2 linked regions of the Oreochromis niloticus genome follow. Each later gene encodes a partner of the first gene's protein in a complex. Links are inferred from orthologs where the notes say so. Each region holds a gene or a part of one and is shown in the gene's direction. Other genes may lie near its edges.

Evidence for each region. Proteins that work in one complex are often made in the same cells at the same time.
Region 2: cnot11 (region 1) and cnot6l share a complex: the UniProt entries of both Homo sapiens proteins name them as parts of the CCR4-NOT complex. The link is inferred for Oreochromis niloticus from reciprocal best matches to the Homo sapiens genes CNOT11 and CNOT6L.

The regions. Positions count from the first base shown.
Region 1 is NC_031987.2:29,387,665-29,395,493, forward strand, and holds the start of cnot11 (CCR4-NOT transcription complex subunit 11), read left to right. Parts: upstream 1-4,820; 5' UTR 4,821-5,027; intron 5,028-5,033; exon of another isoform or gene 5,034-5,208; intron 5,209-5,303; exon of another isoform or gene 5,304-5,426; 5' UTR 5,427-5,448; coding exon 5,449-5,767; intron 5,768-5,982; coding exon 5,983-6,147; intron 6,148-6,325; coding exon 6,326-6,478; intron 6,479-7,177; coding exon 7,178-7,380; intron 7,381-7,829. Other genes in the region: abl interactor 2, read left to right, coding at 1-246, 473-637, 720-800, 956-1,138, 1,516-1,691. UniProt on the Homo sapiens protein: Component of the CCR4-NOT complex which is one of the major cellular mRNA deadenylases and is linked to various cellular processes including bulk mRNA degradation, miRNA-mediated repression, translational repression during translational initiation and general transcription regulation.
Region 2 is NC_031977.2:33,445,275-33,452,952, reverse strand, and holds the start of cnot6l (CCR4-NOT transcription complex subunit 6-like), read left to right. Parts: upstream 1-4,662; 5' UTR 4,663-4,824; intron 4,825-7,678. Other genes in the region: anxa3a (annexin A3a), read left to right, coding at 552-611. UniProt on the Homo sapiens protein: Has 3'-5' poly(A) exoribonuclease activity for synthetic poly(A) RNA substrate.

The DNA.
Region 1 (7,829 bases):
CCTCCTTCTCCTCCTCCTCCTCCACTACAACCTTAACACAACCCAACGCACCTCTGCCTCCGAGCTCACCTTCTCAACATGCCAGCTCACCTTCCCAAGCAAACTCGCAAGCGAATGCGCCAAATGCCGGCACCTCCCCACCCTCTAACTCTTCCCCAAGCACATCCGAAGTCCAGTCGGAGCTGCTTCCCCCTGCCCCTCCACCTCCACTTTCCTCCTCCTCCTCTTCTTCATCACCTACTGAAGGTGAGTTTTCAGGGACACCTCTGCTCTCCAAACATCACCAAGTCTTCCTTTGTCTCTCTGTTTCTGTGGATTTTATCTCCACTCCAGGGAGCTAATCTTTACCTCTTTCCTTCATGTTTAACACACAGAAAATTAAAATTGAATTGAATCATGAGTCACTGATTGATTGATACGCACTGTATTAAGAAAATATGAGTTCATAACGTTGCCCCTCTCTGCTGGTCAGGCCCTATCGTCCCTCAGTTCTACAGTATGAACCGGCCTCAGCCTCGACAGCAAACCCCACAGGTGGGGGGGTCACTGCCTTACCGCCGCCCCCCATCGGTGACCGGTCAGCCAATTACAACCCAGAATCAGGTCAATGGCGGTCCCTACTACAACCAGAGCCCAGGTATGCAGTATAAAAGCAGCCACCAGTCACTCCACTCCCACATTGAGAAAGTTTGGTAAAAATTTGTCTTTTGTGTTTGCAGCCTCTCCCACGCCCCCCTCCCTGCTCCAGTTCACCCCTCAGCTTCCTCTGATGGGGTTTGTAGCTCGAGTTCAGGAGTCCAGTGAGTATTAATCTGGATTCTTTTTCAGTAATTTATCAGAGAAATGTTTCTGCACATCATTTTTCTCGTGAACATCTGTGTGTCAAAACGGATGACATCATCAGCTTTTAAGCCCAGATTCAGTTCTGGTTATGTAAAGTATCCCCCACCTCCAGTTTCAGACGCCCCCCCTCCCCCGCAGCCTGCCACTGAGAACCAAGTAGCGCACGAGGAGCCCCTGCCCACTCCTCAGCCAGCTGAGGATGGGCATGAAGAGGAGGACTCAGCAGTAGTGGAGTATAACGACCCGTATGCTGAAGAAGACCCACCGTGGGCCCCCAGGAACTACTTAGAGAAAGGTACGCCACAGAAATACACAGAGGCAACAAAATACTTACAGTTAGCATTGTTTATGAGGTTGTCTTAGATCACTCCACCAGTGTTCTTTGAATTAGCTGCTCATATATGTAGCCTCAAACTGCGTCTCCGGGTAGAATAACACAACTTGGATTTAAGGTAATACCTAAGTCAGGTATTAATGTCTTTTATACTCATTAATTGCTTTGGATATTAGTTGTTGCATTAGTCACAGGGGTGAGCAGCTAATTATTTTTTTTGTTTTTGTTTTCATTTGTGCATAAAAACTGAAATGCATGTAATTACATTTACTGCACCGCTTCGGGTGAAATGACTGAACCTTCTGTGATCATATTTCGGTGTGTTTGTCGCCCTCCAGTGGTGGCCATCTACGACTACACGGCCGACAAGGAGGACGAGCTGTCATTCCAAGAAGGAGCGATCATATACGTCATCAAGAAGAACGAGGACGGGTGGTTTGAAGGAGTGATGAACTCGACCACCGGTCTCTTCCCTGGAAACTACGTAGAGTCCATCATGCACTACGCTGACTGAGCCAAACGTGTCTGTAATCACAGCTGCAGTCAAGAACTAGAAGGGAAAATGTGACCCTGTTCCACGTTGCCATTTGTCTCCTTAAATTCACACTAATTGATCACAAGAAAGTCAGAGCTTGTGAAAACAAAACGACCACTTAATCAATAACAGGCTTTACCTGAGTGCTTTAGGACTAAGAGTTGTTTCAGGTGTGAGATATTCATTTAAAAACACCTGAGACCTTTCAACCTGCAAGTAAAATGTCAGTAAAGTTCTTTGGGTATCTTCTTGTCAACCCAGTGTAATTCAAAGAAATTATGAAATGCGGTGCTTTCCAGCCACACAACAGCTTTGTTTCTTTTAAGAACGACTACACACATTTTAGAAAAGAATGTTTAAGTGGGACTTGATGGTACAGGTGTTGCCATACATTCAGGGTATGACAACACTTTAGTTTTTTCGGGTCTCGGTCATACAAATGTGTGTATGCTGCAGAAGTGATAATTGTCCTAATAATCTAAGTCCTACTTATCAAAATAAATGACTGCACCCAGAAGATCAAGACATGAGTAGGACACATTTGATTTTATTTTTTTTAATCACAAGAAATTGATTTTAAGATGTTGACATAAGAAATTTGTTCTCTTGCAGCACATGTTGCATGCATCATACAGATGTGAAACCATTTAGTATGTAAGTGTGGTTAAATGTTCATAAATGTTTTTAGAAATCATAGACATGATCACAACAGAGTGATTATTATAATAAGTAACAGAAAATCTAGCTGAAATCTAGACATAAGCCAGTGATGTTGATTCAAATGGACACTGTAGTGTGGAACTGGTAAAAGCTAATCCTGCGTCACTTTTAATGGTGCCAATCTGCCAAAAAAAAAAAAAAAAAAAACAATCCTAAGAGCCTTATCTGCCAATGAGGTGAAAGAAGGTGTTCTCTGAGTGCGGAGTCTGGGAGATAAACTTGACATGAAGGAAACAATAAAAGAAAACACTACAAGTCAGAAAGGTTTTTATGTTAAACAAAGCGAACAGCACAAAGATCTTCAGTAACACTAAACTCAGTGAAGTTGTGTGAGTGACCTTTTTGCAAGTTGATTGGATGCCATCCTGCTCTCTTCATGGACAGTATTCAGTGAAAACTGAGCTTCTGTCCTCATAGAAAGTTCCTTTAACATCACACATCCTGCTGTGATGTGACGTCTAAGTGGAACTGTCTGTTTTCCAGTAGCTGAAGTTTTCTTGTTAGTTCTGTGTTGAATGACGCTGCAAAGGCAGAACCGGCTTTTCAGCTTCATAAATGTATGTGTGTAACTAAACTAACATTTTATCTAATCCACAAGAGATCTGATCAATCACCGAGGTCAGACCAGACAGCAGAACTAAGCTCTCCTGTGTCCGACCTCATCGTGGTTTTGTTGTCGTGTAGTAAAGTGGACCTGATCTAATCGCCAGGAGGAGATTCTGGAGCTGTTATCAGTTTTTGTTTTGTTTTTTTAAGTTTACAGTGTGTTTGACTGCATGCCTGATATATAACGGACATTTTTATTCTCCATATTCTGTTTTCTTTCTTTTCCTGTAGTTTCACCAGCTTGCTTTATGATGTCTGTTTGACCGGCTGGAGGTTGTGATGTTTCTGTGCAGTTTTTGCTTGTAATAGCCCTTTAACTGAAGTCCTGTGTGCTTGGACGTAAGACCGACTCTCAGAAAAAGGTGGATATTTTTGTGCCATATGTGTGTGTGAAGAGTTGTGTGCACGTGTGTGTGAGAACCAGTAAGAACCAAATGTTCCCTTGTTGACTGAAGTGACTTTGGACCTGAAAACAGTGTGTCCTTAATGTACAGTGTAACTTAAGAGGTGTTTTACCACAGAAACCAGAGTATGCCAAATTAAATAACAAATAAGATGAGAAACAGTTTTTCCCCTAATAGATGTTTGAGTTGAAGGAAGAAAACTTTTTTTCTTGATGCTCGTAAGGTAAAGATTCTCTCTTGTGTGGCTGCAAATAATTATTTTAATACCTACATACCAAGCTGACATTTTCAGATATTATTGTATTTATTTATATATCCATGTATTTTCAAGTTTAAGCACAAAGTGCTGTCCAGATTAAAATGGATACAACTCATCAGAAACTTGCACACTTCCCTGTAGGAGCACACAAAGAACAGAAGGTGTAGTGTGAAGCAGCACACAACCCTCTTTGAAAAGGTTAAAAAAAAAACAAAAAAACCTGGTGTAAGTTCATATGTGAACACAGCGATCACCAGCCTTCAGACAGAATGTCTTTAATGTAGACAGCAAATCGTTTGAGCTGCTCCAAACTTTGGCTCACTCTGGTTTTTGTTTAGCCTGCAATATCCCTTTAAAGTGTGGATTAAAAAATGAGATGAACTGTGAAATGTTATGGACAGCTTCTCCAAGGCCTTTAAAAAAAGAAAGAAAGAAAGAAAGAAAAGAAAATCAGGAATCTGTTTGATTGCCCTCAGTGCAGACATTAACCTCTAAACAGGACAATTCTGGGTTGAGATTCACAAAATATTTTAAGTTAAATCCCCCCCCCCCCTCCTATGTTAGTAATAATTTCATTAAACGTGACCACGAGAGAAAGTAAGACACCCTACAATCAGCTGGCAAAAAAAAAAGTCTGGACGCGCCCCTGCTGAATTGCACTCATCACGTTTGAGTTTCTTATAGGAGCTTTGGTTTCTCTTTAGATCATCGCTTTCATTTTATTTCTTCCATCTCATTCTTCAGGATCTACCTGAAAGAACAGGCCGCAGGAGAAGCTTTCTCCTTTCCAAAGTGAACATGACTGAAAGCACAATGTTCTTTAAGTGAAAATGCAAAATAAATGTCTTAACAATAAGCATGTGCTACTGCCGTGTATTTATCGGACTGGACGGTAGAAACTGCGTACAGAAGAGTTAAGAAATAATAATTAAATACGTATGGTCACAAGAACTGAGAATATTTTTTTAAAAAAAAATATTCACAAACCTGCTTAAAGGTTTTTAAAAAACTGAATGAAAGAACACTTTTAAGTGAGTGTATCGACAATGATCACTTTATTTCGACAGGACAACGCCGGAAATGATAACGTAACGCTAGGACTGATGGGTAAAGGAAGAAGCTCTTTAGTTAGTCAAACCACTATTTTATGATCAGCTGTAGCTTTAAAAGTGACTCTTATTGGATGACGCTTCACGCTTTTCGAGTCTAAAATTTCTGCTTTCCTATAGATGACTTAAATGATTATATAAAGTGTTTTAGCGAGTTTATTTTAAGGGGGAAGTGAAACGCCACTGTACGAAACTACATCACCCATGATGCAGCTCGGTATGACCGACGTACTGTCGTGAATTTAAACTGCTAATACATCGGTCACCGATTCTCAACAGTCGTGAAAACACCTGGACAAACTTGGATGTTTCTATCGGTTAATGTTTTGTTAGTTTTTGTAAGACTGTTATGCAGTTTCAGCACCGGGCAGAGTGGAGTTTGTGGGGCGGAATATTTGGTATGACTATGAAAATGCCGCTTTATGTCAGTTAGCGCCGCAATGCTAGTTAAGCTAACTTTTTGCTAACTCGTTTGATTATTTTCATTCTGTAGCTTTTCAGATTTCCTCTTCAAATATGAATTAAACACACCCGGTTCGTTGCGGAGATGCTGTATTTGCTATATTAGCTATTTAAAGAAAAACAATACAGTCTTATAACGGTTCCGCCCAAGCAGAAAAGATTCAGCTGAGGAAACCATGACACTCGCTCCGAAGGAACTGTCCAACCTGCTGAGCATCATCTCGGAAGAGGCTTGCACCAACTCCTTCGAAAGCCTCTCCACTCACTTTCATCATTACTTCGGGAAAGCGGAGCACTTCAGGGTGGGCTCGGTGTTGGTCATGCTTTTGCAGCAACCGGACCTACTGCCCAGTTCCCCGCAGCGGCTCATCGCCCTCTACCTGCTGTGGGAGATGTACCGCACCGAGCCACTGGCCGCTAACCCTTTCGCCGCTGTTTTCGCGCACCTGCTGAACCCCGCACCTGCCGGAGAGGAGCAGGAGAAGGTGCTGTCCGGTAGGTCTCCGTGTGAAAACGCTTTTTCCTGACTTTGGTTATGTCACCGAGAAAGAAATCAGCCAACTGTTTCTCATTTCACAAAAACTTGTTCAGTTCAATTAAACATTTGCGCTCAGTTCTTGTTGGAAAACACCCAGTAACACTGGCAGTCTTGGTGTGACTGTGTAACATGATGAATGAGGGCTATGAAGTCTCATCTGTTTGGTGTCCAGGCTTCCTGCCTCCCATTACCCAACCTGAGAAGTTCTTCCTGTCCCAACTGATGTTGGCACCTCCCAGGGATCTCTTCAAAAAGACACCCAGACAGGTGTCCTGCATGGATGTTGGCAACATGCCCCAGTCTGTAGACATCAGCGGGTTGCAGCTAGCGTTGGCAGGTCAGTACCCACTCACCCATAAATGATCTACTGATTGAAAGACTAGGTGTGACTGGTCAAAACTGTCACTTGTTTATACTGGTTTGTTTTAAAAGACAATTTTTTTTCTTCTTTAGTTTGCAGTGCACTTTGTTTCTCTTATGTTTTAATTCACTGTTTCTGTCTCTTTGTTGTTTAGAGCGTCAGTCAGAGTTGCCCACTCAGAGTAAGGCCAGTTTCCCAAGCATTCTCAACGATCCAGACCCAGACTCGTCCAACTCAGGATTCGACAGCTCTGTGGCCAACCAGATCATAGAGTCTCTGGTCACAGGCCCGCGCCCTCCCCTGGAAAGTAAGTGTTATTGGTGATTTGTTTGTTCGTTTTTCAAAAAAGGCTTTTGTTATGCAGAAAACAAAGAACGTTAAAAGGGATTTTAGGATTGACCACGGTTGTTGTTGGTGGAGGTGGAGGTGGGGGGAGGGGGGATCAATTTAGGAGGTCACCTCGGTAGGTCATCGTGTTCCATCTTTTTCAGAATGATTTGACATGACACAAAGACCCTGAGTCAGTGATTTCACTGTGTATGTGTGCGTGTGCGCAATTTGCAAAATGAAAAGAGTATGTCTTATCATCATGTTTCTCATCACTAAAAAAACGTTGGGCTGGTTATTCACTTCTAGCTTACAAGACAGGAGCTGTGTGAATAAGGAGATCACAGATGAAAAGCACGTAAACGTTTTGCTTTGCTGGCAGTTTTGTGGGTTTTCAGCTGTCAAGTGCACATCTGACTTATGTTCATCCATAAGTCAGATGAAGCAGCATGGTCACACAAGAACCTGAAAGTCTCACTAGTGTGTGCATCAGAGCTTCAGCTCTTTGTCGTGGTGTCCCAATATTACAATTCATCGCTCTCTGAACATGAGAACACCTTTTAAAGCTGGCACACATGTAGCCATGGTTACTAGAGTAGACCGCCACCCATGAATAAAGCTAAGTCTGAAACAGACCAGGATTATCACAAGTGTTTCAATATCGTTGTTTAATCCTCAGGTCACTTCCGCCCTGAGTTCATCCGGCCGCCGCCTCCTCTCCACGTGTGTGAGGACGAGCTGGCGTGGCTGAACCCTACCGAGCCAGATCACAGCATCCAGTGGGATCGCTCCATGTGTGTGAAGAACAGCACCGGCGTGGAGATCAAACGCATCATGTCCAAGGCCTTCAAGAGCCCGCTGTCTGCACAGCAGCAATCACAGGTGGGTCAGCCACAGAATGCTTCTCTTAAAGTCAGGCACTGAAATTCTATTTAAACTGAAACTATGGTGCTGCCACCAGCTGCCTTTGGAGTGCAACTAGATAAACCCAGAGAGGAATTTCAGGGTTAACGTTGCTACTTCACAAAAAGGAGAAAAGCACAAGACAAATATATTAAGACAAGACATTGAAAAATGGTTTGAAAAGAGTCAGAATGTGAAATCAACAGGAATAAAATGGAATGAGATGGATTAATCAGAGGATAAGCCTGATAGTTTACAGCTGATTGATAGTGGGAGTTTATTTCTGTTTCTCCAGACACTGGAGGACAGTATGCATCTTTATACAAGATGATAATTTTTTATATTTAGCCACATCAAAAATTGACATCTTTTGTCCGACCATCACTCCCAGACCCAGAGAGATTCATTATACAGTCTGTTGTTACTGA
Region 2 (7,678 bases), on another chromosome or scaffold:
TATGAAATTATATAGCAAATGCATCTATTAATACAAAATCTCTACAGCCGAAATTTGTCCAAGAGAGTTGATTTGAAAGTCTTCTGAAACGGTTTTTATTCATCATGTGGTTACATTGGACCCTGACACTTTTCTGACGCCCTGGCACATGTTAAGAAGTTAAAGGTGGTCTATTTTGTCCGTTTCACCTACATATTTTACTTTTTTGGACTGTACTAGAGTAGTTTGCCATGATTCAGAGATTAAAATAATCCAGTATAATATCTTGTACTGGGCCCCTCAGTTCACCCTCTGCCTGAAACAAGCTGTTTTAGCTCCTCTGTCTTTAAGACGATCATTCCTTTAAGCTTATTTATTCTGCTTTGAAGGTTTGAACAGCAGGTGGGTGGAGTTTCTGTTCTTGCAATGAAAGATTACCCCACATTCACTGATCTCACTGACACAAAAACCAGAACAAAAGTGTGGTACAAAAAAAACTGCAGTGATCCAGACCGAATGTGGGATGTGCTTTTGGATGCTTGACTCTTTGCTTGTGTTGATGTGTCCTCCAGTCAGATCTGTCGGGCGACCACTGTGAGTGTGTGAAGGCCATCTGTGGAGGAGACGATTAACCGAGGGTTCACCTGAAGACGAGAAGAAACCTGCTTTCTCCTTCATGCTTGTGTCATTCACGTCTGCCTCTCTTTTTTGTTTATTCAGCCTACTAAATCACAACTTGTTTACAGTCTCAGCTAGACAGCTGTAAAAGGCAGATGTTGTATGGAAGCACTGCGAATTTTATAGCCAGGTCAGCTGAGAGATGTCGGCTCAAGTTTTAATGTAAATTTCAATTCTGATTGTGGTGGAAATTACAAGACGACTGCTAAAAAAAATATCTTGGAGATTGACATGTTGTTTCTTTTACTTTATAGAAGCTTCTGTCATTTTATTTCAATTGTAAAATCTAGCCATACAGCATCTCTGTAACCCTGTTTCTTAAATTTGCACACGAAGAAGGATGTAATAAAAATAAAGATTTAGTGGTGCAGTTTCTCTGTCTTATTGATTAACTAGCCACATCTAGAATATTTAATCTAATTTGCACATATTTCCATTGCAGCAGTTTTTAGCATACATTAAAATGTGCATCCTTTCTGAAATCTTTGAAATTAATCAAGTAGAAATGGCTCCTCTGTGCTGTAACTGTTAATCTATTACTGAATGAATAATAAAGAAATTGTCATGTAAAGCAGTTAATTAAGGGAAAGTAATAAATATCAGCTCAGAATAGGTTTGGAATTGTTTTCTTGGTGTCTCTGACATCTGCATATTTACTCACAAATAAAATCACTGTGGAAAAGGAGTACTTTATAGCACTGAATTAATACTTTCAAGCATATCAACTTTTTACCAAAATAAATGTTATATTTCTACATAAGAAGCTTAATAGTTGTACAATCAAAATGCTTTTAAAGTATCTAAAGTATCTAAAGTCATTAAATTCTTAGAGTGGCACATTTCAGAATCATATACATTATATTATTGGATCTAATTATTGACTGTGGCACCAGCAAGGCCCAATCATATTTCAGTGGTAGCCAATGCTACCAAATGTCCCTGATCTGATTTGTCAATGCTTATGTTGGTTAGAAAGGATTCAGTCCTGCAGCTCAGAGGAGTTAGAGTGAGGATAAAAAGCAGTGAGCGGTGCTGAAAAGTCTGATCACCAAAAACAAAAGATTTTCACTCTGCACAAGAGCTGACATCATGATACTTTTTTTTTTCTTTTTTTTTTGTTTTTTACATTTTAAGACTAAAAAATGGAGCTCTAATGTTGTTTTGACCAATAAATATCAGCTTCAGGTTATTTGTACTGCTAAGATGACAGACATTAGGATGGGCATGTATGTAAATTACAATTCTTGTGATTATGCAAGAGAAAAGGCAGATGTAGTATTATATTGTTTTAGTGTGGGTCAAAAGGAAGTAACACATTTATCATTATCTTGCACAGCGAAGGTTTTTCTGTCCTTTTGAACAATTTCATCTTGCTAAAAGGGGTGACAAAAGTCAGGAAACACAAAAGCTCCAGTATCTGATCATTTTACTGGATAGAAAATAGATAATGGGATAATGAGCATAGCAGTGATCAGGAATTGCTTTCAAAGTGCAAATTTGTAAGAATCAGGTGGTGGACCTGTTCCTCCAGCAAACTGAATACACTCATCATCATTCTACAGGGGAGGTATTGATGTATTTACTATTTCAGCATGTCATGTGCAGGTTAAAAGAGAAACATCTCAGCGAATTTATTAAGGAAGACCAAGTGGGCAGGGAAAAATAACAAATAAAAAAAAATCAATCTTCCAGATTTGCAGCGGCCTTCAGTTTAATGATGCAGGATGACCTTGTGGTGAGAGAGAAAATAAAGCTTGTCGTAGTGAATTCAGGCTGCGGTTACAAAACAGAACTGTGAAATTTAGCTGTAACAAATGCAAAGAGGTTCATGCCTACATATCATTTCCATGCTTCATGAGTGAAACCCCCATGAACAAAAACTGTTTAAAGTAGGATTAAAACACAGCTGCTTTTCCTTTGGATCAAAGTAAGACTTCTTTAGGGATCCCCAAAAATTATTATATGCAAAAAGATTAGCTGTATTGAGTTGAATCGGTGTCTATGGAATTCTCAGTTTAAACATCTGGAAAGTTCCCATCAGTACTGACAGGCTTATAGAGTTTTTACAGCAACATATGCTGCCGTCCCGGCAGTGTGTTTTTCAGAACAGGCCTTGCATATTTCAGAAAGTCCGTGCTAAATCACTTACTGATTACAACAGCATGGCGACACAGTAGAAGAGTCCTGGTGATGAACAGACCTGCCTGCCGTCCAGACCTTTCACCAGGTGACAACATTTGGAGCATCATTAAAAAAGAATATCTAACACTGTTGAGCAACTGGAAGCTATAATATTTGCATCTAAAATAAGCCACAGATGCAGAAAGAAGAATATATACCAATACTGATATAAAGTACATTAATCAATAATCGGATAACATTCCTCTCCCACAAGTTCAGCAATTCCCAAAAAGAACCGCTGTTAAAAGAAGAGGGAACGCAGTGGGAAACCTGGCCCAGCGTCATTGAGATGTGTCACTGCCATCAAATTACAAAAAAGCGGTAAAATATGACAACACGCATCCACTTTTCAGTGTAGGTTTCTACACAGTATAAAGTGTGTAACCATAGAGGAAATGTTCTTAGTTCTAGTACTTGCCCACTGACTTTCTGTTTTTTAAGTGATTTATTCCGGACTATGATGAAACTGTGGCAACACTCAGTGAATAATGTTTTTATTTTTCTTGAGTCAGTCCGTTGTACAATAATGCTCTCAGTCTACATCTGATATTCTTACCCTTCACAAGAATAGTTTCTGGTGTATTTATAGTGTGTCAGTTTTCATAAGAAACATATTTTTGACCCGTGCTGCCATCTAGTGTTCAAACACATGATTTTTCTGCCTGAGGATACAGTATCTTCACTGCCATAAAGTTTGATGATGCAGGCGGTCCATCATTTTCAGGGTTAAATCATTTTTTTCTATTGAAGGTTCATCTTATCCTGGTGCTAATGAGGAAAAACATCTCTCCTAAAGTTTACCTACATCTAGGGTTTAAGGCTTTACACAGGTGCATTTTAAACAACCCAGCAGCAGTGTTGCAGGTACAGTAACACTGCAGTTAATCAGACAGCAGACCAGACACTCTAACAGAGATTCAGCAGTCGCTATGCAGAATCAGTATGATGGGCTTATAGTTACCTTTTCATAGATATCAGCACATTATGGAGTAAAAGGAAATAAAAGGGCAAATGAACTAGTTCTTATGTGGTGCTTTTCTGCTCAAGCACTCACACACTTTATGCAACATGTTCCATTCACACATATTCATGCAAACACTTTCTTTTACATTTAGGTGCTTTTCTGTCTTACATTCACACACATTCACACTCCTGAATGCATCAGGAGCAACTCGGGGCTCCATATCTTGCCCAATGATACTTTGGCATGCAGACTAGAACAGCCAGGGATCGAACCTCCAACTTGCTCTACTTCCTGAGCCACAGCTACCCCAAAAATGTGGTTGCAAAGGAGGTATAATGAGGCAGCCAATGACGGAAAACTGGGAAAAGCAATGGAAGGGAGAAATGAGAGGATGATGGTTTTACAGGATTCAAAAGAAAACACAAGAAGGAACATGAGAGGAACACAGGAAGGACTGGGTTACATCACGACTTGAATTTAGACACAGTGGTTTAAACAATTAATCATTTATAGCCAGAAAACACCAAACAGGTAAATGCAATGGGACTATTGTTGAAATGATGAAACCAGAGAACATGTTATATGTCAGAAATATGAGGGTGAGAGAAGGTAGTCAGTGTAATCAAAGTTAAAACAGATCTTATCGATTTACTGCAATGGAAATTCAGAAATGAAAGTTATCAGGTCATATTTAGTTATAAAAATTGGATTGAAGTTATTTATTTATTTATTTATTTAGTTAGTTAGTTAGTTAGTTAGTTAGTTTTGTTTTTTGAGCGACATTGTGGCCTCCAGTCCATACCAGTTGGTGGCGCTAATGCACCAAAGTTAACAAGAAGAAGAAGAAGAAGAAGCCCTGGGCGGGTGCGTGGTCGGTGTGTGTGCGAGCACGAGCGGAAACGGCGTTTGTTGTTCTTCCCTCTGTTTCCGAGACGTTCAGGGTCTAAACGGGTTCAACAGCCGCGTCTGCATGTTGCTGCCAATTCCCGCAATAACCCGTCTTCTACCGCCCCCGAATGAAGGTAATGTCAGGTCTCACTTTGTTTCTGTGCTGCTGCCACCTTCTCCGTGCTCTCCCGGGTTCAATAGCACTTAAATCCGCTCGTATTCGTGCCAAGTCCTCTCCCCCGCAGTCCGCCTCGGTGGCTGCCCGGGCGGCTCGCGCCTCACAGCCGCTAGCCAAGCAAATCCAGCGGCGTGCTCGGAGAGCGCTGCAGGTTTAGCCGTGTTTGGGCTTCGTGTTGGAGCTGTTTGAGTATATGGAGCTGTGGAATATCTTGGCGTGTGCACATCCAGAGGGTGTGTTTACCTCGCTGTCAGGTGTGACAGCTGGAGGGCGGTGGGCCGAACTTCTCCTGAACGGGCCCGACCGTGTCACTTCTGACATTATGGCTATGTTTGGATACTCAGCTGTTGAAACAGTTGCCATCGCTATATTAAAAAAAAAATGAAATAAAATAAATAAGAACTCCTCAGTCCCTGAAAGGTGGTTTTTGTCAGACTATTTCGGTTGTGTGCGATAACATCTGGAGCCTAAACTATTGAAATCCCCTCCTGCTTGTGATAAAAGTCTCTGCTGGAGCTGCAGATTCGTGCCTGTCTCCATATGGTTGTGATATGAATCGATGCCAGCAAGCTATATATCTGTCACTGCTCACTTGTGACCTGGTAGTAGTGTGTAAACACGTTATGTAAGTCCTTCTCCAAACTTATTCCCCTCTGCCAACCCTCACGGCAGCTGCTGCATAATAGCCGTGCGCCTTCGTCTTTTCGGCTTTGCATACTTTTCATGTTGACATACACGCTGCTCAAAAGTTATGAAGTGTTGTGCATGCATGGCTTTGCTGACTGGAGCGGAGTTTAAATAACCTGCACGCTCCTGCTTCAAGCAGCGGTCAGCCAAGGTTATTAAAGCAAACTGAAACTAAACTAAGTGTGCAAAAACATTTTAGTTAACCGACATAAAAACAGAAACTGGATGAAAGTAGAATAAAACAGGGTTCATCTACACTTTTATTTTATTTAGGCAGGGTTTTGCATTGTAATGTGGTCATATAAAATCAGCCAAAGGTCCCATCTGACTCCCTCAGAATCAGCTGCTTTTAATTGCATACTATATTTAATGAAGCAATACAAAATGTTACCTTCACACTTTGAAAATCTTACCAAGTGACAGCCCCTGGAAGTTCAGGGAAATTTGGCTTTATTTATTCATCAGAACTTATTAAGTGCAGGAAATACCCCACAGTCAGATTAATTTTACATCTGTTCAGAGTGTCACAGTCTAAAGCCAAATTTTGTGTTATTACAACATATTTGCTTCTATAAATTTGAGCATCAGGTTATGTGTTATGTCATAGTTTAATTCGCATAACTGCATCAGTTTCATGTCAGTGACATAGAGGAACAGAGAAAAGGTACCCTGGATATTTGAACTTTGAAGTTTTCTGATAATTCATTGGAGAAAACCTAAAAAAAAGTGCATTTTGTTTCAATTCTGAAGGGTAATGCCACCATGTGGGACGGGAGGCTATACTGGAAGATTATTTTGGCACAGAAGTAACCACGGTTAGGGAAGCACCTGGTTAAAAAATGTAAAAAGGAGACCTTTCTTATGCTTTAACCAGCCACTTATGGTAATATTTGTTTTTCCTCGCGTGAACTAAAACTGACAGATTTTGTAGGAAAGGGAGTTTAGTGTTTGTGAGGAAAACAAGAGCACAGAAACCAGATAAAGAATTAAACTCTACAAGCAGTTTCTATAGTGTTTTTGTGTCTGAGAAGAAACTGCAGTAGTAGTTGTTTAATTCAGTGCGAGTATTTGTAACTGAACTTTGAGCCATTTTAATCAAACTTTGAGATGATTCCAAAACGGAAATCTCTGTGAATCAATTGTTTTTTAAAGCCAAGTGGTCCATGGATACATGTGATGACTTATATTAAAAACATGGATATTTCATAGCTTTGAAATAAAAAAACAAAACAAAACAAAAATCTGGCATGTAAGTAAAATCAGCCAGAAACATTTGTAGGCTTCAGCTTTTAAAATGCAATGCTTTTTCCTCACATGTATGATACTAAACTGTGGTTTGGACTGTTGGTCAAACTAAACAAGAGCCAAATGTAACATAATGGACATTTTTCTCTTTTTGTTTCTGAGATCAAGAGAAAATAAAAGGCAAAATTTCAGCCTGTATTTGTTGGAGACAGCAGGAGACCAGGGATTCAATAAATGCCTTTACAGACCTCCTTCTTTAAACTTGCCTTTCACAGAGGGCTTAAGTACAGTGTTGTGTTTTCTCTTGATTGGCACCTTGATTTGAGGCTGTAAGGTAAACCCCTGCTAGAATTAATGTCTGATTCTTGCTCTAAATAACTCACTACTGTCATCCTGTTTGGTCAAAAGGGTGGAAACCGCTTTCAGTCAGCTGCTCAAAGATCAGAAATTTGATGCTTTTATTACAAAAATGTCTCTAGCTGAGTTTTTTTTCTTTCTTTAAACCTACTGGGAGAGTTACGTCAGAGTATCGGCTCTTTGTGTCGCTGCCAGTTCTCCTCCAGGTGCTCCCTCTGTGGTTTTCTGGTTTGGCATCGTGTTGGTCCAGACATTGTGGTATGCTACGGGTGGGAAGTCATCTCTAGCAGCGACGTGCTGGTAAAAGCTTTCTGAGGCTGCTGATGGTAAATGGTTGACTGCTGCGGGTGGGGTGAATGAGAGGGAAAATATTTTGCAGAGTATTTAAAAAAAGTTTTTAATAAACGTATAAACTGGTGTATGTGAGAAGAAGTGTGGGTCTGTTTCTGTTATCAGAGAACTCGGTTACATTGCAAACAGGCTGTGTTTTCCTTTAAGAGTTTTTAATCATTTGTTTTTTT